Pelodiscus sinensis: one gene and its partners. The protein of the gene in region 1 interacts with the protein of each later gene in a pairwise test. Links are inferred from orthologs where the notes say so. Each region holds a gene or a part of one and is shown in the gene's direction. Other genes may lie near its edges.

Region 1 (6,950 bases):
CTGAAAGGTATTATCACTATAAAACCACTGTGAGATTACAAACTGGCTCTAGTACTCTGGAATCATCATGAAAACGAATTAGAGTATTAATTTTTCCCCAGAAAGATTTTATTCTGACCTTTGGAAACAATGTTATGAGGATTGTCCAGAAGTTAAAATGTTGGGGCTTAGAGCCATGCTGAATGTGTTTTTGTTTTGTTTGTTAATTTAGCTAGTAAAAGGTACACTTTAGTTTATTATGCCCTGTGCTTGAACTGTATAGTTCTGGTTTCTTTTGACTGGAATGAACTATAATTCTGTTCAATACTTGAGACTGCCACAGAAATTACATCAATTCAATGGATGTTGACTTCTGTTGTTTTGAGAAAAATGTGACCCAGCTTGCTCCTCTGAGACACATTAAATAATTCTTTTCACTGGCTTTAGTAATCCTTGGATGGACTGACTCTTTTCCATTGTAACACCCTGGGAATGGATCTCAGCATTGAGGGCTTCAGAAATATTGTTTTTCACATCCTATTAATCCTCTTTCATGGACTAACTAGCATGATTTGCCTGGAGGGAGGTGGGGAGGAATCATTTGACATATCTCCAGGAATTAAATGTACTAGAATTGAAGGGAGGCCTGATTACCAGCATGATTCAAGTCGTAGAATTTCACCCAGTGAATTTTGCACCATCTATAAATTCTGGTTTGGGTAGAAGTGTATTCAGTTTTGATTTGTACAAAGAATTACAAGGCAGTGTGGCCTAGTGACTGAGCATTGGACCAAGCAGCATGGGTTTTATTCCTAGCTCTGCCACTAGTCTGCCCAAGGAAACTCACTTCACTTTGGTGCCTCAGTTTTACCAACTATACACAGCGGTTTTGTCTACACTGGCATGATTTTGCGCAAGAACTCTTTTGCAGAAGAGTTCTTGTGCAAAAACTCTTCCAGAAGAGAGTGTCTACACTGGCATGTGCCTTTGTGCAAGAGATGTGTTTTTGCACAAGACCATCCTTGACAGTGTAGATGCTCCCTTGCGCAAGAAAGCTCTGATGGCCATTTTAACCATAGGGCTTTCTTGCGCAAGAGGGCTTATTCCTGAGCGGGATCATCATAGTTCTTGTGCAAGAAGCACTGATTTCATAACATTAGAATGTCAGTGTTCTTGTTCAAGAACTCGCGGCCAGTGTAGAGAGGAAGCAAGTTTGGTGCAAAAGCGGGCCAATGTAGACACAGCCAGAGATACGGAGCCACTTTGAAAGGTACTTGTGAAAAGCACTATAACAAAATCTAGGTATGTTTGTTATTGCTATTCATTTGAAGACTTCGGGTGACAGAATTCACCATATGCCCAAGTAAATTATTCTAATGGTTAATTGTTCTTATTTAAAAAATTACACCTTCATTCTAGTCTGAATTTGTCCATCTTCTATTTCCAGCCATTAGATCTTGAGATCTTTTATTTTTTTTGTGAGTATAGAGCCCCCAAATATCAATAATCTTCTCCTCATGAAGGTATTTATAACTGGTGATCAAGTCATATGTTATCTTTTTCTTGAATAATAGTAATATATTGGATTTCTTTAGAAATCAATGGGAATTTTGCCCCCAAGTAAGGGTTGTAAGATTGGGCTGTTGGGGTACATCTACACAGCCATGTTATTGTTCTGAAATAACAAAGAGTGCATCTATGTTACAAGCGTTTTTCAAAATAATATTGAGCTGGAAGACTTGTTATGCTGAGGCTATGTCTAGACTCTAAGGGTTTTCCGGGCTGAGGTATCCCAGAAAAACTCCACTGCATCCAGGGATCGCGTCTGCTTGTCCAACATTTTTTGTGGAAGAGCAGATGCGCTCTTTCAGTGCCACAAGGAAGGGTTCTTCCGAAAGAGGAGAGTTTTCTGAAATTTGGCCCAGTGTATATTGGAAACTATTGGAAAAAGGTACGCAAATTGTGGAGCGCTATTTGTGTACCTTTTTCCGATAAAAAGCATCAGTGTAGACTGAGGCTGAGTCCTATAACCCTCATTTTACGAGAAGTAAGGGAAGTAGAAGGAAGAATGTTCTTCCTTTGACTTCCTGCTGTGTAGACAGCGCCTAGCGCCTAAAGCCAAGTTAAGCTATTTCAACTTAAGCTACACAATTGATATAGCTGAAATTGTGTAGCTTCATTCAACTTTAGCCCTGCTGTGTAGACATACCCTTGGTGAATAAGGAGTAGTTAATGGATTTGTCAGAATAGTGCTTTATTTAGAAATTTGTCGTTTTGTAGACAGTGTCAAATTTCGAAATAAGCTATTTTGAAATTACCTCAAAATAAGCTACTCAGTTTGCATAGTGCAAATTGCATAGCTTATTTTAAGGTAAGGATGCAGTGTAGATGCACCCTGAGTATATTCTGGGAGTGGGGAATGGCTGGACTGATGGCATGGAAGATATTACAGCAATAGTAAGGAAATGCTATGCATTTTGCTTAATGTGATGAATATAGCTTCAGATTTTTTTAAAAATAAATAAACGTTAAATAGTGGAAATTGGCACTGTACAGAATGAAGGCGGTGGCAAGATGGAGATGAGTGCTTGTGATGACTGACCGGAGAGAGTTGGAAAGGTAAGAAATAGCAGCACAACTAAAAAAAAAATATGTCTCTGGGTGTGTTTTCCTATAAAAGAGGTATGTGGTTACCTTAACTTTCTTTTGCTATAAACCAGAAGTCTGAATATTCTCCGGGGAGTGCAATACAGTGTATAATGTGGGATGATTTATGTGTTTAAAAATAGATTGATTTCCTTAACTATTAAGATTTAAGTTCTACAGCAAGTTGTGGGTGCTGGAGGTGGGAGGGGAGAATTCCACTCCGAAGACATGTAATTTGCCTGAGTTTTCTATATGGAAAAATGTATATTATTTTTCCTGGAACAGGTTTTCAAAAGTAACTAATGATTTTTGGGGTTCCTTAATTCTTTGGGATAACAATTTTGAAACATTTTGAGGGGAACTAATATTCAGAAAGTGCCAAGCAACTTCCTTCTGAAGATCGGATTCCTTTGAGGTATTTCTAGTGGGTGTTTCTGAAAATTATAAATCTGAAATCTTGGTGGTGGTCTTTTTCTGGGTGTAGCTCTCCTGTTGATATCAATGTATCCAAAAGAAGCAGGGAGAGCAAAGGGGGGGGAGCGTTTGTGGGAGAGTTACCATTGTTAGATCCAAAGAAGAAGCCTCTTTCCAAATGACACAGGGGATTGCAGCTACTCTATATAAGCATTATGACTGAAGTAGACTCAATGGGCCAGATCAATGGGCTTGCCAGAGCTTCGCTGATTTCAATGGAGCCATGGTATTGTTTGACTGAATGACTCTTAAGAGGTCCCACAGTGGTAGCATGCAGCTCCTTTGCAGATTCCTATTATAGGCAAGCTGGTGCGTTTCAATCTTTCCCTATATTTGTAGCCCCAATGTTACAAAAGTGTACTATTTTATATTCCACAAAATATTTTTTTTTTCTTTAGTGTACCAGTCATTTATGTTTGTGTGGTGTAAATGATATTCAGAGCTCAAGAAATTACCCTTTTCTTTCAGGGTCTGTATTTTTTATTTGGATTTGGTTAGCTTGCTCACACCTTTTGTGCTTCACAATTTAAATATCACAGGACTTTTGTTAATGGTGTAATGTACTTTACAATAGCATGCAAAATGTACCAGAGATACATGTGGAGTGGGAGAAGCTGTTGCTGGCCCAGAAATCAATCAATCAATCTCTCTCTCTCACACACACACAATATGCAGTTCAGAAAAGGAGGAGAAATTACTGATGAAAAGCACAATAAGCTGTGTGTGGCGTGTATCTGTAGGTGGTGACTGACTTGCATTTAAAAAAAAAGTTGTGGTATTGGTTTTGATACAGCCTGACCAATGGGAATCTTCTTTCTAGTTAGTGTGGAGTGGCTTTAATGCTGGAAATAATCCTGTTGGCCAAAACCCCAGAACTGTGCAGATCAGAAAAGGATGCAGGAAATTCTGTTTACACATGTGTCTGCAGCACTGAGCAGCAAGAACAGCCCAGCAAGCCCAAAGGGTAAGGGGCTTTAGTAGTCTTGTGGTTTTATACTGTGTTAATTTTTATATCTTTCTGCAGGGTGGTGTGTATAATACTCACCCAGGGAACTGAGGGTGGAAAGCTCTATAAGCTATATTACAGAAGTACTTAGATTTAAAAAAGAAAACTATTTTGATTGTGTGATTAAATTGTGTTTTACTATTTTCCTTTTGCTTTCCATTAAACTACCATTGGACAATTTTTTTTATCTTTGCATCATATTAAACATACCTTGTCCTGTATGTATGCAATATGCTTATTTTAATATAAGATTTTAAAATATACATTTGCACAGTAAAAGTATGTTAAACTATCTTTATTATTAATTTAAAAACCTGAATGATTTACTATAAATATGGAATGTTGAAGGCTTACACTGTTTATATAAAAATTCAAAAGTACAGTAGGAGAAGGAGGTACTGTTTGGGTCATTTTCTAAACCTCACTCAACACTAGAAATTTTAGTCTCAGGGGAATAGTATAGTTTGAGTTTGCAACTTGCACTCAATTTCTGTTGCGGTTAACAGGAAGTTGTGTAATCAGAAGGAATGTTTCCGATATAAAATGTGCAACTAACTGATAAATTTGTGATCTTAATTTCCCCCTGAAAACTCTCTGGATACAGGCAAAATTAGGAGCTATAAATCAGTAAGGTTTTGTTTGTTTGTTTTTTGTTATACTGCACTTTAAAAATAATAAAAAAGGAAATTCAGCTAGTACCGTTTCAAATAATGGACAATCTCAGAATGTGTGTGGATGAGCTGTCACTAGGAAGGACCTGAGGAATAAATTCCTAAAGTAATACAGAGCAATTTCATAAATGCATATAGCAGACTGTTCTAACTTCTCAGCAGTTAAAACCCAGGTTCTCTGGCTGTATCTAGCTTTTCATTTTCACTGTTTTCATCACTACCACATTAGTTTATTCCCCACAACCATTAATGTTGATATTGGGTAGGAAACATTTTTCTTGCTCTAATATAACTTACAGAAGGAATACTTAGTGTTCTTGCAACTATTTGCCCTAAAATGCAAATGTGCCCTGAAATGTATATAAATATACTGTATAAATGTTGTTTCATGAATGGGACTTGTGTGTTCTTCACCTATTCCAACCATCCAACAAATTTAATGGACATTCAGTAAGTGCAAAGAATGATGTATCAAGCTTATTTTCTATTTTTTCCTGTCCTTTATTTAATCCAGTGCTCTTCAATTATTTCTTTTACTAATCACCTGTAATTGGTTAATTTATTGCCATTTACCTCAATAGATAGGCCTTAGCATCTTTTAATAGATTAATTTATTAATCTTACCAATAATTATTTAGCCCCACAAAAATATATAGAACTTTCTGAATCAAAGAGATGTTCCCTGCCCTAAAGAGTTTGGTGCTAAATATTGTTTTTCATCCCTTTCCATTTCTTCTAAATCTCTATCAAATCATTTACTGATTGCTAATGTGACTGCTTAGCACAATTTATAAATGCTCACACAAGGTCTTGGCAAAAACAAGTTGTGACGTAGTGGGGGTACTTGCTGGGATGTGGTGACCTCTGCTGTCTGGAGCAAGACCCAGCAGGGAAAACCTCACTAGGCAGAGGTAAGGACAAACTTGTTGAACCAGTGGCCAGACACCCCCCATGGAGAGGAACAAAGGAAGGTGAATGCGGCCCTGGCTGGGGGGCAGGGCTGGAAGTGGGTTAGTTGGTTGGTGGCTGTCTGTGAGGATGGATGAGACAGCCTAGGGAGAGGAGCTGGAGTTTTAGGGGCCCAGTCTCCCCCATCTCAAGGGGGCCTGAGGCATCCTAGCCCAGTTCCTGTAACCAGACTACATCTGTGCTGCGCTGTGCTGGAGGAGCAATAAACCACCCTCAATTCCACTGGCTGGTACAGTCTGTTTGTGCCATTTCGGGGTGCAGGAGACGGGGAACCCCCAACGTGCCGTCACACAAGTCTAAAAAAATCTTCAGTTTGCTGCACTGCTTATGACGTTTCTTTGCAAATCGTGTACATAGGATGGATCCCTCTAACATATATGATAGAATTTAGGAATACATTGGACTTAATTCATATACACTTTCACACCAGTAGGGCCTTGCTACCCTCTGTTGGTTGTCTCATTGTGGAAGGTCAGATTTTCAAAGATCATCAAAATTCTGGATAAGACATCTGGCTATGGCCCTTCCCTAGTTAACCTCTAGATATAGCCAAGGGTGCTAGATACTTTATAGGATAGGTTAACTGAGTACAAGCCTACATATTCAAGGGCTAAATTAAGACTACTTGATAGGTGTACCCATATTTTAGAGCAGTGGCTTGCAAACTCTGTTGGTTCGTGTGCCACTTCAACATTTTTAAGGCAGTTGGTGGAACATCAAGTTTGTCTGTCATTAGCGGTACATGCACTGCAGTTTTCAGATAATTCCATGGGAATAAGTCTGAGGAATTTTAATTGGACTTGATATATTTGTCTGTCTGAAATGCTCTACTTTTTGTAAAAAAAGAAAAAGGAGAGAGGAATCCAAGTATTGTATAACAGAGCTCAACCAGGGTTGACCAAAACTCAAGCAGTCACAGAAGCAGTTAGATATTCTTCTCCCAGCAAGAATTCATATATATGGATGATTCTATAATATATTTTATAAGGTTTCAGTTTTCACTTTATTAACTGTAAATTCATTTTCTCTAACTGCCATACCCTCATTCTTATTTTGCTGTCTATGTTCCTTGTACTCCTTTTTCCTTCACCTGACTTCCAGATTACGCTTTATTGAATACACATTGCACCAAGTCTTTTTCAAATATGAATATGATTTGGTACTAAAAATAGACATCCCATATTTTCTCCATTAGTATTATTAAA
Region 2 (6,857 bases), on another chromosome or scaffold:
GCGTTGTGCATGACTGCGGCTACCGTGGAAGCGCCCCAGGCCAGAACTGCCGTGTTCGGTCAGACACCCATGCCTGCCCCTTTCTGGCTGTGAATTGCCCAGCGGCCTGTGCCCGGGCCCAGCCGTCAGGGCTCCAGGGTCGCTCCCCCAAGGAGGGTGGAGAGAGCAGAAGGGGCCTGCCAGCCTCCCCCCGTGGGGCAGAGCAGCTAGTGGGAATGGCTCTAAGAGCCCCAGGAACCAAGCAGGGATTTGGTGGGTGAGGGGAACGAGGGCGCAGCCTCTGCTGTGCTGGGGGTAGGAAGGAGCCAGGCAGCTAGTGTGTGTCTGCCCCGCTCCCTTCAAATCAGCAATGGGGCCGTCTGCTTCCCCTCCCCCTGCCTCCCTGCAACACCAAGCGGGGGGGGGGGGGGGGGGCGGAGGGGGGGAGAGCTGCACTTTGCATCTTCTGGGCACCAGCTCCTTCAGCCTCCCAATGCCCAAGTGAGGGGCTTGAAGTAATTAATATAAAACAATTAAGAGGCTGCTTGTTGCCTTTAGCAGCGCGGAGACCCAGGGAGGAGCCAGCGGCTGGTTCGTGTTCCCGACGCCGTTTCTCTGCTGGTCTCCCAGAACTTCAGCAAGGTACGTTGGGTTTGGTCCCGAGGCATGCTGGGAACTCACCTGGCCTCCAGCTAGTGAAGCACTTACCCCCTAACGAGTGGCCCAGGGGTCAGCGGTGCTGCCTGCAGGCAGATAGCGAACCCTCCACCCCAGTGCTTTGCCAGAGCGCTTGATCCCTCGCCCACGTGAGCCCTGTTCCACCGCTGGGGAAACCGAGGCACGGCGTGGCGCTGGACCACGACAAAGGCCACGTGGCGAGTCTGGGGCATGGTCTGGAATGGGGTCCTCGGGGCCAGTGCTCTGTGGCCCACACCTGGGGTCATTTTCCGCGGTGCCTCGGCCTCCTCCCTCCCCGTGCATTGACACCACGGCCCTGAGGCTGTGTTGGAGCTGGACCGCGCTGTTCCCTGTTTTACCTCCTACCTCTGATTCCCGGGCACCCCGCACAATGGGCCGCGGACAGAGAGAGCCCACAGCTGCAGGGTGTTGGGTATTGTGCCAGGGGATGCCTGTCCCAGAGCACCAGCCTGGCCTCCGCGGGCTAGCGGGGAGTTGGCCTGCCCCAGGTGGATTCCACACGCTGGCTGGAGCAGCAACGGGACTCAGGGTGACCTCCCGGGCTGGGGAGGAACCTCAGTTGGAGGGAGGGTCACTTCCCTGCAGGGGCAATGGAGCCCGGCTCCCAGGACAGCTTTCCTCCCGCCCCGAGCACACATTTGGGGGGAAATTTTCAGCCCAAGCTTTGGTTCAATTTCGACCCCTACAATTGTACAAATAATTGTGCAAATAATCCCCTGGACAAAACACTGAGCCAGCAGTGCAGGGGCAGCGTTGAGACCAAGGAAGGGGTGATGTGTGGGCCCGGCCGGGTACTCAGCGGCCCTGGGGACATTAGGGGGCAAGGCGAGGCCAGCTTTGGAGCAGCCGGCCCTTACAAGAATCAGGGCCTGGCATGGGGCTGGGGGGGGCAGCGTGACACGGAGCTGGTGGCGGGTGGCTCAGAATTGGGGGGGCACAGAACTCCCTGGGGGGGAGCGTGACACAGAATTGGGGGGGCGGAGCATGGAACGATCTGGGCGACTGTGACGTGCAACGGGGGGGATATGGCAATGGGAGGGGTCACGCCCGGCCCACTCTCGCCGGATCGGCCCATGCCGGGTGTCGGCGCGGCCGGCAGGGGGCGCTGCGGGAGCGGGCGAACTACAGCTCCCAGCAGCCCCCGCGGCCGGAAGCGTAGGTGACGCTGTTGCTAGGAGAAGCGGGGGCCGGGCCTTTAACCGCCGGAGAGCGCGAGCGGGTCAGTGCCGGGGGCGCTGTGTGGACCCCGCGCTGGGAGGGGCGGGGGGGGCCGCGCTGCGGGGGGCGGGGGAGCCGGGCTGTGGGGGGGGCGCGCTGTGAGGGGCGGGGGAGCCGGGCTGTGGGGGGGGCGCGCTGTGAGGGGCGGGGGGGCCGCGCTGTGGGGGGGGGCTGTGCTGTGAGGGGCGGGGGGGCCGCGCTGTGGGGGGGGGCTGTGCTGTGAGGGGCGGGGGGGGCCGCGCTGTGGGGGGGGGGGCGCTGTGAGGGGCGGGGGGGGCCGCGCTGTGGGGGGGGCTGTGCTGTGAGGGGCGGGGGGGCCGCGCTGTGGGGGGGGCTGTGCTGTGAGGGGCGGGGGGGGCCGCGCTGTGGGGGGTGGGCGCTGTGCTGGGAGGGGCGGGGGGGCCGCGCTGTGGGGGCGCTGTGCTGGGAGGGGCGGGGGGGCCGCGCTGTGGGGGGGGGGCTGTGCTGGGAGGGGCGGGGGGGCCGCGCTGTGGGGGGGGGGCTGTGCTGTGAGGGGCGGGGGGGGCCGCGCTGTGGGGGGGGGGCTGTGCTGTGAGGGGCGGGGGGGGCCGCGCTGTGGGGGGGCGCTGTGCTGGGAGGGGCGGGGGGGCCGCGCTGTGGGGGGGGGGGCTGTGCTGGGAGGGGCGGGGGGGCCGCGCTGTGGGGGGGGGGGGCTGTGCTGTGAGGGGCGGGGGGGCCGCGCTGTGGGGGGGGGGCTGTGCTGGGAGGGGCGGGGGGGGCCGCGCTGTGGGGGGGGCGCTGTGCTGTGAGGGGCGGGGGGGCCGCGCTGTGGGGGGGGCGCTGTGCTGTGAGGGGCGGGGGGGCCGCGCTGTGGGGGGGGCGCTGTGCTGGGAGGGGGCGGGGGGGCTGCGCTGTGGGGGGGCGCTGTGCTGGGAGGGGCGGGGGGGCCGCGCTGTGGGGGGGGGGCGCTGTGCTGTGAGGGGCGGGGGGGGCCGCGCTGTGGGGGGGGGCTGCGCTGTGGGGGGGGCTGTGCTGGGAGGGGCGGGGGGGCCGCGCTGTGGGGGGGGGGCTGTGCTGGGAGGGGCGGGGGGGCCGCGCTGTGGGGGGGCGCTGTGCTGGGAGGGGCGGGGGGGCCGCTTGGACACCGAAAGGGGTGGGAGAGGGCCCCCTGGCAGGGGCCCCACCTCTCCTAATTGCTTATCCTCCCTAGGCTCCACGCTCATCCCCCTTCCCTGAGCTGCTTTCTGACGGCCTGGGGCCTGCTCCTGCTTTCCATGAAGCTGGGGAAATTTCTGCCCCTGAGGTGGATGGGTGCAGGCTTGGCTTCCTGTGCGATACAGTGCCCTCCCCGCTGGCTCTGAAGCTGCCCTGCCTCTCCCAGGGGGAGGGCTAATGCCAGCAGCCCCACATGGGCCCTTCTCTCTGATCTGCTGCCAGCCCATCCCGCGCTCCAGGTGGGGAAGTCACCCGGCCTCCTTTGGAAGCCTGGTTGCGCGGCTAGGCCAGGCAGCAAATACTCCATGTGCTCTAACCCTGCGGCAAGAGAATAGAAAGGGGAAGCTTGGCTAGTCTGCGGTGGGTCTTTGAGTTCCCTCGGGAGCCGGCTGCTGCTATCACAGCCCTCCGATTGCTTTGACACTCCCTCCAAAGTCCACGGCTGTGTCTAGACTGCACCCCTTTTGCGGAAAAGGGATGCAGATTAGACACAGTGCAATTGCAAATGAAGCAGTGATTTAAATCTCCCCCGCTTCATTTGCATGAACATGGCTGCCGCTTTTTTCCAGCTCGGGGCTTTGCTGGCAAAAAGCGCCAGTCTAGACGGGGATCTTTCGGAAAATAAAGCCTTTTCCAAAAGATCCCTTATCCCTGATTTATCCCTGGGTGTGTTTTTCTAGGGATTAGCTTGGTCGAGAGACCTTGCTGGGAGGGGCAGGACTGCCAGTCCGACCCCACAGGCCAAGGGTTAGAAAGTTCATCTTGCAGAACTGGACCAGGATGCCAGAGTAGGAGCATCCACAGCTGGGGCTGCTCTAGAACAGCTCTGTAACTGTCCCTGCATTTATCCCCTCTGCAGTAGCCCCTAGTGGGGGGGCGATAATTAGCTGTCTGCTAATGGTTCTCATTCTCTCAAGAGCCATACTGCTGACAGGCAGGCTTAGGCGGATTAGCCGTTCGCGTCATAGACCCTCCCATCCCTGCTCCATATCAATAATTCATCAGCTTGTAAGTGGAATCAAGGGCTCTGTTTCTCCCTGGTGCGCTGCTGTGATCTCCCTGTACATCACACCCCAGTGGGGCTGAGATGCGGGAGAAAAAGATCTTCCCGCTGGATGGACGGACGGACGGACGGCCTGTCTGTCCCAATGGCTGAGCTGTCCAAACGCTGCAGGTCAGGGACCCTGTGGACCTGCAGCTCTCCTGATGTCTCAGGGGGTTGATGCTGCTCCACTTGCCCAATTTATTGTGATTTTTGGAGTAGGGAGTGAGTCTCTGGGGCAAGAGCGTGTGAGCCCAGCAGGGAGACGGGTGAGGGGAGATGCTATAAGCACAGCCATGTTGGCTCAGACCAATGGTCTCTCTACCCAGTGTCCCATTGTCCAACAGTGGCCAATACCAGGTGCGTCAGAGGGAAAGAACAGAACTAGATCAGTTGACTGAGTGACCCGTCCTGTTGCCTGCTCCTAGCTCGGCAGGTACTGCAGCAAACGGGGGCGCTCGGGGGCAGAGGGGCAGCCCTGGTCATGGAGGCCTGCAGCTTGATCCATGTCTAGACGGATGGGATCCCTTGGCCTGCAGGGTGACAATGTTCTCTCTAGCGGGATGTCGCCCCAGCGAAGAGCACTGGCCCCGACGTATTTAAAATCTTCACCGTGGCTGGGGAACGGTTCCCCAGAAAACACTATCTGGTTTCTGTCCCCCATGGCAGCTGCAGAGCCTGGCCGAGATGTCTGAGGGGCCTTCCAGGATCTCGGGGCCCATCCCTCCCGACCCCACACTCTTCCCGGACTATTACAAACGCCCCCTGTCAGGTGAGAGCCAGCGATGCATGGATGGGGTCCTGCATAATCGTGGGTGGCTAGTGCAGGTGAAGGCCTTCCCTTCCCTAGCCTCTGTTGGCTGCACAGTTCCTGGATCTGTGGAGGGGCAGCTCTCCCCCAAAGGGTGTGGAATGGCCCTGCAGAGACACTCGGCTCCTTTGAGGCCCTGAGCGCTCTCAGCTCCCATCGCCTCCAGTGCCAGGAGAGGCTGATGTGAGGAGTAGGAAGTGGGGGGATGTCAATATCTGTTAAACATCCCTCTATCCAGGGTGGGGGCACCGGGGGGGGAGCAAAGGGGAGGTGCCGCATGCCTTGACTCGTGCTGTCTCTCTCTAGCTCGAGGGAGGCTGGAAGGAAATGCCTTGAAGCTCGACTTCCTCTCTGGCCCGCTGGCCCCCGATCCCAGCCTGTATCCCACGTGTTACAGTGCCCGCCCTCCCCCACGTATCCGCCCCAATGGCCAGGACATCCTGGAGAAGGGGCAGATGGGGACAGTCGGGATCTTGCTGAAGCTGGAGGGGGTCTCTCTCCACAGGGAGCCGCCCCTGAAAAGTAGGTGCAATTGAGCAGGTGGGGCTGACGGGCAGGATAGAATGAAGGCTTGAACTGGTGCAGAGGCAAGGGTTTAGGATGGGGATTTGTGTGGGGCCTCACCCTGACTCCGGCCTGGCGTATGGAAAACGTGGGAGTGAGCCTGTGGAACTCCCTGCCATATGATGGAGGCCAAGAGCCAGGTAGATCCCAGGTGGTTTTCCTGGTACGTGGCTAATGGGAACAGCTCTGGGGAGTGCCTGGGATAGGCAGAGAACTTGAGAACTGCCCAGGGGAAGGTTAAAGGGTGACTTGGTTGCAGTCTCTAGTTACCTACATGGGAACAAATGGGCTTGTCAGTGTAGCAGGAAATCCAGTGGCTGGAAGATGAAGCCAGAGGGAGTTGGGGAGGAAGGTATAAATTTGTCCCCAGGGAGAGTAATTAGCCTTTGGAACAACCACCCGAGGGTAGAATCCACCACGGGTGAGTCTTAACTCAAAGGTGGCTGTTTTCGAGCAGCTGCTCTTGGAGTTACTCCAGCAAAGCCAGTGTCTTGGTGTGCTAACAAGGGGCTCTGGGGGTAGGGATCCGGCTGGCACACAGGGAGGGGATCCGCTTGCTGCTGTTTGCAGTGAAGGGAGCCGCTTCGCTGAGAGAGGCCCTGGTCATGGTGCCAAGGGGCTCAGCAGGGCCTGCTGGTGAAAGCCGTGTCTCGCCGGGGCGTGCAGGGCGCGAGTGCAAGGACCACGAGAAGGAGAATGTGAGGCGGATGCGGGAGATCCAGAGGAGGTGCAAGGAGAAGGAGCTGGCGCGGGAGCACAGCCAGCCCAAACCCATGAAGGCCCTGTGGAAATCCCAGAAGTATGAGAATGTGGAGTCCAAGGTGAAGGCCAAACTGCAGTACCTGCACACAGCGGCATCACAAAAAGACTAGAGAGAATTCCTTTGTCTCGGGGGCATTCTAGTCCCTGCCGCGGCCGGCTGCAGCGTGAAGCCGGGCCTGGCTGGGGCCACTCGACACACTGTGTGTGATGTGCTAAATGCACCGGCACGCCCATGGATTCCTCTCTCGTGCTACAGTGTCGCTCCATTGAACGCAGTGGAGATTTCCCCAGGCAGGGTCGTGTCTCCCCTGCCAGCTGAGTTCCCTGCCTGACTCCTGCCTGGAGGAGACGTTCCCCGCACGTGCAGCGGTAGAGTCTGGGGTCGCCCCTCGGCCCTGGAGCTCCTGCTATGTGGTTTGCCTTTCGCAGGAGAGCTCTCCCCCGCCCAACCCAGAGTCTCAGAACTTCCTGAGGGCATATTCCCGCTGCGGCTCCGGGGTCCAGCCGCGCCGGTCGCTGTCGCCCAGCCCTGCCATGTCCAGAGCAGTGCCAGACGCAGCAGCTGCAGGAGTGCAGGGCGCAGACGCCAAGGTGAGGCTCCATGTC
Region 3 (6,937 bases), on another chromosome or scaffold:
AAAAATGGTGGCGCCTGGCAAGATGCAAATGAAGCCCGGGATATTTAAATCCCGGGCTTCATTTGCAACTTCGATTGACTACATTCGAACTAGGGTGGTAGTGTAGACATACCCCTAGTTATCCACCGGACACCCTCCCGCCTTCCTTGTAGTCCATGGACCACAGTTGAATGACACGTGGTTTAATCATTTGATTGCAGTTTGATAGGTAGGGTAAAGTACAGTCCTGCCACAAATATTGGTAGCTATAAATTAGAAGGCTTTTATCAGGAACCAGGAAAAAAGGGGCTAATATTAGTTGTGCAAGCCCATACGCAGCAGAGAGTTTGTGTATGTGTATGTGCGTGTGCAAAGGGTGCAGTCCACATTTACAAAAAAAGCACACACCCCCAGAAATTCCTGTGTATGGGCCTGTATTCATCTCTCCTCAGATGGAAACTGCTCCGTACCCCTAATAATTTTGTTGCCCTTTTCTGTACCTTTTCTAATTCCAGTATCTTTTTTTGAGATGGGGTGGGTGACCACATCTGCACACAGTCTTCAAAATGTGGGTGTACCATGGATTTATACAAAGGCAACAAGCTATTTCCTGCTTTATTAACTATGCCTTTGCCAATGGTTCCCAACATTTCTTCTAGCTTGTTTTGGCTGCCTCTCCAACATTTTTTGGAAATAACTAGCGATAAATCGAAATAACACAGTCCACGTCTACACAGCCGGCAGTTATTTTGACATAATGTCAAAATACTGTCAAGCTGGAGGATTTCTTACTCCGACTCCTGTAACCCTCATTGTACGAGGACTAAGGGAAGTTGGAGGACGAGTGCTCTATTTCGAAGTAAGTGCTTCGAACTGAAGCCATCTGGGGGAATAGCGAGTCTGCCATATCTCCCGCTGCCCCACACTCACTGGCAACGATGGGGCACATGGGGCAAGGCAGCCTCCCAGCTGCGCCACTCTGGAGACAGGAGAGGATTGCCCTGCGTTCTCCAGCGCGAGTGGAGTCACGTGGCCAGGAGAGCAAAACAGTGGGGCTGCCTTGTTCATCTTCCCCTGCTGCTGTGGGTGAGTGCACCTCTCCTATAGATGCCAGGCCCCCTCCACTGCTAGTTTCCCCTCCATCGGCTAGCTGGGCCCCCCCACCTCACATTTGGGTGCATGTGGCCCCTTGTGCCTCCCCATGTGTTGCGCCATCTGCCATTTTGATGGCCAGTCACTAGGATTACCAGGTGGCTTCAAAAAAAATACCGGACACATTTGATCTCAAATGGGGGTAGGGGACTGGCCGGGAGGGCAGTGGGGCTGGCTGGGAGGAGGTGGGGAGGGGAAACCATCCGGCGGGAAGCAGGGCTGGTGGAGAGGAGGCGGGGAGGGGGACATACCGGCTGGTAGGAAGCAGGGCTGGTGGGGGAGGGGAGGGGGAGAGTGGAGGGAGAGAATAAGCCAGTGGGGAGCAGGACTGACCCAGGCGCATGCAGATCCTGGAGCGCTGCCCGTCCCGCGCACGGTCCCGGAGAAGCACGAGCAAGTCCGGCCCAGGGGATTCCCTCCCACCCCCTGGCATAGTTTAATACTGCCTGGCTGGTAGACACACTCACGCAGCCAGGCAGTTTGCAACTACGTACTGATACTCCTAATAATAATAAAACTTACCTAATTAGAAAATACCGGACATTTTATATGTCCGGTATTTTCTCAATTTGTTTCCCAGACAGAACCCACAAATACCAGACTGTCCGGTTCAAAACTGGACACCTGGCAACTCTAACAGTCACCCACCAAGTTTTGTGAGATCTCTTTGTAACTTTTCACTGTCTGCATGGGACTTAACTATCCTAAGTAGTTGAATCATCTGCCAATGTTGCCACCTCACAATTTGTCCCTGGTTACCTGATAGTGTTGCCAGTTTGCATAACCGTGTTTGTGAATCTTATGCGTGAAAAATAAAACTGTGCTCCGAAGGAATGACCCAAACAGACTTTGATCCTGGCACTAGTGCTTCCTGGGCTGGGCAAGACAGGCCTGCAGCTTACAGTTATTCAGCTCATTCTACTAAATGGGAAAGGCGGCTTGGGATCTAACTTAACAGACACCATTTGAGACAAAATTTCAGACTGGCTCCTTAGGACTCAGAAAGCTCCAGATGTTCCTTAGCAGAAGCTCCTCAGGGAAGCTGGTTCAGAAGCTATTCCAATGAGCAGAGGCTCATGGAAGAGGAAGAGGCCTAGACAAAATGTTCTTGCAGGCAAGGAATGTAGGAGAACAAACCGGGAATGGGAACTCCTGACTGTGGAGCTACTAGGAATTGGCACAGCACTGTCAGCAGAAGATGGGCTTTTGGCTGAATGCCCAGTAGAAGCCCAAGCTCTAGGCAGGGATTTCAGCCTCAGTGTGCTCTGGGGCTAGAGGAGCAAGATATACAGATGTTTAATGGCATGTACTCAAAGTCCCGTTAAAATTAAATGGAATTACTCACCTGTGATGTCAGCATGTTAAATGCATGATCAGGGTATAAATTGTAGCACACTGTATTGAACAATAATTATATACTTCCTTTTCTGTAGATGGCAGCAGCCATCCACAGTTATTTCTTGTTGACAAGCATAAAAGGTGGGGGTCCTGCAGGAACCAGAATAAAAATTGGTTTGGAAAGCTTTTACTGGTAATTTGCTTTTCTAATTCACAAATTAAGGTTCAAATGTTGCCCTTTGATGCATGCCAGAATTCAATGAGAAATTGAAGAAGATTAAGAAGAAAAAAAGGGCACAAACCAAGTTCTCCTCCAACTTACAGGTCACCTTTAATTGGTTCCTTCTAAAATTTGGACTCTCTTAATAAATATTTCTTCTTTTTACAGCATTGGGTTAGGGAAGAATTCTTATTTTTCTAGTTATTAAAATACATTTAATCAGCCTTCAGTTGCCTTTCTCACACATAGCAATACTTCCAAACACAGCCATCTGTTGGTTTTAAACCACAACAGCTGCAAATACACTTGCTTGATGTTCAACAAAGGATTTCTCCCCCGTTGCCCCCCCCAAAGAGAATGCAAATTCACTGTCCTCTTTCAGAGAACGTATGCATCTTATGTTCGAAGGAAACATTTTGCCATGCCAGTGATGCATAATTTGAATTATGCAGCTGTTGTAATCAGCCATCTTATAATATGACAGAGACTTTTCAGAATTTTCCTCTCTCCATTTCCTCATATGAATAAAAAATATCTACAAGCTTATCTGTGTCCATTGGCTTTCGCTAGAGTTAATAAAAAATCACTGTAAAGGGGCACTGGAATGGGCTGAGTTTTGAGGCCTAGTGCCAACTCTCATATTTTATCTGGAGTTTTGCAATGATTGTCATGGTGATTTAAAGTCCCAGCTTTTGGAGTCATGTTTATTATGTAAGCATCTCAACTTCCATTAAACATATGTCCAGCCCTTGCAGAGGCACAGAAAAGTTTTAAAACTTGTCCTAAGTGCACTCTAAATGCACCCCCCAGATGTTTCCTTTTTTACAACATCTGGCAATTCTTTCCCCCCCCCTCCTCTCATAATGTGGGGGAGGGCCTGGTGTGTGATGTCTGAACCCTGGGGGTTAGCAGCACCATTCAGGGTAGCCCTGGAGGACGCTGCCTGGCAGGGGGTGAAAGGGAAATGGGGGTGGGGGGAGGGGAGCGAACAGAGGCGGGCTGGGGACTGAGGCAGAGGTGAGAAAGGCCCACGTGGAAGGAAAGGGGAGTCACGTGTCTGGAACCACAGCTGGAACCGCACGCCCCCAACGCCAAGTGCTACCCGCGGTACAAGTCATATGACCCGCACCCCCTGGCAGCGGCCACGCCCCACCAGGCCACGTGACGCCATTGTTCCGCCTCGGTAGCTATGGACGCCGTCAGCTGCGACCGCTCATTCCTGGTCACGTGGTTGACGTTCCGTCCCTCCCCCCCCCCCCCCCCCCCGACGCAGACAGCACCCGGAAGCGGGAGCTTTCTTGGGTCCGCTCCTCACTCGTGGGGGGAGGGGGATGCGGGAACGAGCCTCGGACACTTTCTCCCCCTGCAGCGCCGCGCGGGAGGAGCCGGTAAGGGGGAGGGGAGCGAATGGGAGGGGTCTGCCCCCCCCCGTGCTGGGGAGGGGAGTTAATGGGGGGGCTGGGGAGGAGGGGTCTGCCCCCCCCGTGCTGGGGAGGGGAGTTAATGGGGGGGCTGGGGAGGAGGGGTCTGCCCCCCCCGTGCTGGGGAGGGGAGTTAATGGGGGGGCTGGGGAGGAGGGGTCTGCCCCCCCCGTGCTGGGGAGGGGAGTTAATGGGGGGGCTGGGGAGGAGGGGTCTGCCCCCCCCCGTGCTGGGGAGGGGAGTTAATGGGGGGGCTGGGGAGGAGGGGTCTGCCCCCCCCGTGCTGGGGAGGGGAGTTAATGGGGGGGCTGAGGAGGAGGGGTCTGCCCCCCCCGTGCTGGGGAGGGAGTTAATGGGGGGGCTGAGGAGGAGGGGTCTGCCCCCCCCCGTGCTGGGGAGGGAGTTAATGGGGGGGCTGAGGAGGAGGGGTCTGCCCCCCCCCCCGTGCTGGGGAGGGGAGTTAATGGGGGGGCTGAGGAGGAGGGGTCTGCCCCCCCCCGTGCTGGGGAGGGGAATTAATGGGGGGGCTGAGGAGGAGGGGTCTGCCCCCCCCCGTGCTGGGGAGGGGAGTTAATGGGGGGTAGAGGAGGAGGTGTCTGCCCCCCTTCGTGCTGGGGGGAGTGAATGGGGGGCAGAGGAAGAGGAGTGCTCTTAGTCCCCCATGCTGGGGTAGAGGCATAAATTAGGGAGCAGAAATGCAGAGAGTGCTGGGGGCGGTGATCTCCTGTCCCAAAAGCTGCTGTTTTAATTCCCTGTAATGGCACTTTCAGTAAGTTGAAGCACCTGTAGCTGTTGTGATTACATTGCATTTACCAACATGCACAGTTCATTTTAGACCCACAATTTTACTGATTCAGATTTTGTGTCCCTGGGCACAGGAATAGAATGGTCGATGCAGCAAGACACATCAGCAGAGCAAACATTTTGATGGGTGGGTTAAATAGCAGTGCTTATGGGGCTGTTGCTTATAGATCAAATGCAGTTTGGGTGTACAGACATTCAAGCAGTTGTTCACAGAATCTATGCAGCTTTCTTGCTCCTGTGATAGACTTAAAAACAGTCCAGGCTGTCAGTGACCAAAAGCTTTTACCAGAGCAGTGTTGTGAATGAAGTTTTTTGTGACTCATACACCTTTAATCTCTCTTTCTGCTCATCAGATGTACATCAACAGGCAACCCACGCATAGGAACTGTAGTTTAAAAAATGTACACTGGCTTAATCATTAGCCAGCCTGAGAGTATTTGACATTTGCTACATTTTTTTTTTGGTTACTTGATTTCCTAGTTATGTTTCATGGTATGGATGTGAAAGATTGACTGGTAAGCATCACCCTTAACTGGTTAACTGATGGGGGTTGGAGCAGCTGCCTTTCCACCCAGCTGGGGAGTGCTGCAGCCCTGTGGGGCCCACCACAGGCAGGGGCAGCTGTGGGTGGCCAGAGCCCCACTGTCTGCAGCAGGCCCGACCCCATCACATGCAGGGGCACTGCTCCAGCCTAGCCCCCTATCTACCTCCCTTTAATCAGTTAAACATCATATTTAATTAGTTAGCCAATTAAGTGAGATTTTACATCCCTATTTCAAGGTATTGTTTCTGTTCCATGCCTCGGAAGAACTATTTATTGGTGTGAACTTAGTATTTTGTTTCTGTGCATACTTGCATATGATGCTTTGAATGTTCACAAAGTGAATTTAGTACCATTGAAATTCATTTGCACAAACACTCTTGAGAGAGGAACACAAAAGGGGTATTGGCATGGTCAGAACAAAATAACATAAGTGGAAATGTTTTGTGGTGGTTGGCTCTACTTACCATTTGATGGACGACTTGCTTACATGACATGATTGTGACGCTCACAGTCCATTTGCTAATAGATTGCTGTCCACTGCATAAAACTTTCCACAAATGGCACTGATTGAGATCTTTATCACCAGTCTTACTGGTGATCTAGAGGTTTGAATGGGCATGGAGATTGAGATGCTTTATTAGCTCTGGGAGGGGGTCCCAACAGTCTGGTCATTGTTGAGGTATATTGACAGAACAGTGAGAGTCACAGAGGGGGAAAGTTTGAACACATCTGTACTCAGGGTGAAAGAATCCTGTGTCTGAAGTTGCAGCTGGCACCCATCACCAGCCCCGGGGTCCCCTCTAATGGTACTAAAACAATAGGCAGAAAAAGAGGAAAGAACTGATTATAGCTGGAATTTATTTCTAGTCTTTTTACAGTGAACAAAATTATTCTTCAGCACATTCCTTTTAGCAAACTTACTAAATGCGTCTGGTGAGCTTTTCCGAACGTGTGTTCATGTAAGTGGTACCCTGATCCTGACTTGGGCTTCTGATTGCTACTCTAACATAAATAGAGTATAAACTTAAAAAACAACGAATTTAACACAACCCACTTCTGCCCACGGAAGCTCATGATACCATCTACATGTTTCTTTAGACTTTGAAGTCCTACCAGACTATTCGTTGTTTATTCTATGCAGACTAACTCGGCTACTCCCTGAAGCTTATAAATATAGTAAAAAGAATAAAGTTATTTTGCTTCTTGTTACTATTTTTGCTGTACTTCATTGAACCATCACGTCCCACATCAGTTTTATATGTGAACAGGGTAAGCCATACTTCTGGCAAGTGCCGGGGATTAGTAGAATGAACTACTCTCTTCTTTTTCTCATGCACAGCTGTCCTCCCATTCCAGTAATGTCTAAGCCTGTTTCATTTTGTAGTCAGCTGAGTGAAAGAGGTGTTTGGCCTCCATTATACCTTTTATACCACAAAAGTGTTCTTCTAGAGTAGAACAAGTGTTAAAATATGTGCCATA

What was found. The genes of interacting proteins can lie anywhere in the genome.
Region 2: the proteins of CCDC102B (region 1) and ENKD1 interact in binary tests that used the Homo sapiens proteins (3 or more experiments, as listed by UniProt). The two-hybrid records come from large-scale screens. The link is inferred for Pelodiscus sinensis from reciprocal best matches to the Homo sapiens genes CCDC102B and ENKD1.
Region 3: the proteins of CCDC102B (region 1) and SPG21 interact in binary tests that used the Homo sapiens proteins (3 or more experiments, as listed by UniProt). The two-hybrid records come from large-scale screens. The link is inferred for Pelodiscus sinensis from reciprocal best matches to the Homo sapiens genes CCDC102B and SPG21.

What each region holds. Positions count from the first base shown.
Region 1 is NC_134712.1:92,057,264-92,064,213, forward strand, and holds the start of CCDC102B (coiled-coil domain-containing protein 102B), read left to right. Parts: upstream 1-3,929; 5' UTR 3,930-4,063; intron 4,064-6,950. UniProt on the Homo sapiens protein: During interphase, forms fibers at the proximal ends of centrioles to maintain centrosome cohesion. During mitosis, dissociates from the centrosome following phosphorylation to allow centrosome separation. Contributes to CROCC/rootletin filament formation.
Region 2 is NC_134722.1:46,626,260-46,633,116, reverse strand, and holds the start of ENKD1 (enkurin domain-containing protein 1), read left to right. Parts: upstream 1-3,838; 5' UTR 3,839-4,550; intron 4,551-4,783; 5' UTR 4,784-4,801; coding exon 4,802-4,886; intron 4,887-5,231; coding exon 5,232-5,447; intron 5,448-6,155; coding exon 6,156-6,328; intron 6,329-6,680; coding exon 6,681-6,842; intron 6,843-6,857. UniProt on the Homo sapiens protein: Microtubule-binding protein which regulates microtubule organization and stability. Promotes the stability of astral microtubules and facilitates the proper orientation of the mitotic spindle.
Region 3 is NC_134724.1:6,636,650-6,643,586, forward strand, and holds the start of SPG21 (maspardin), read left to right. Parts: upstream 1-3,918; 5' UTR 3,919-4,077; intron 4,078-6,937. UniProt on the Homo sapiens protein: May play a role as a negative regulatory factor in CD4-dependent T-cell activation.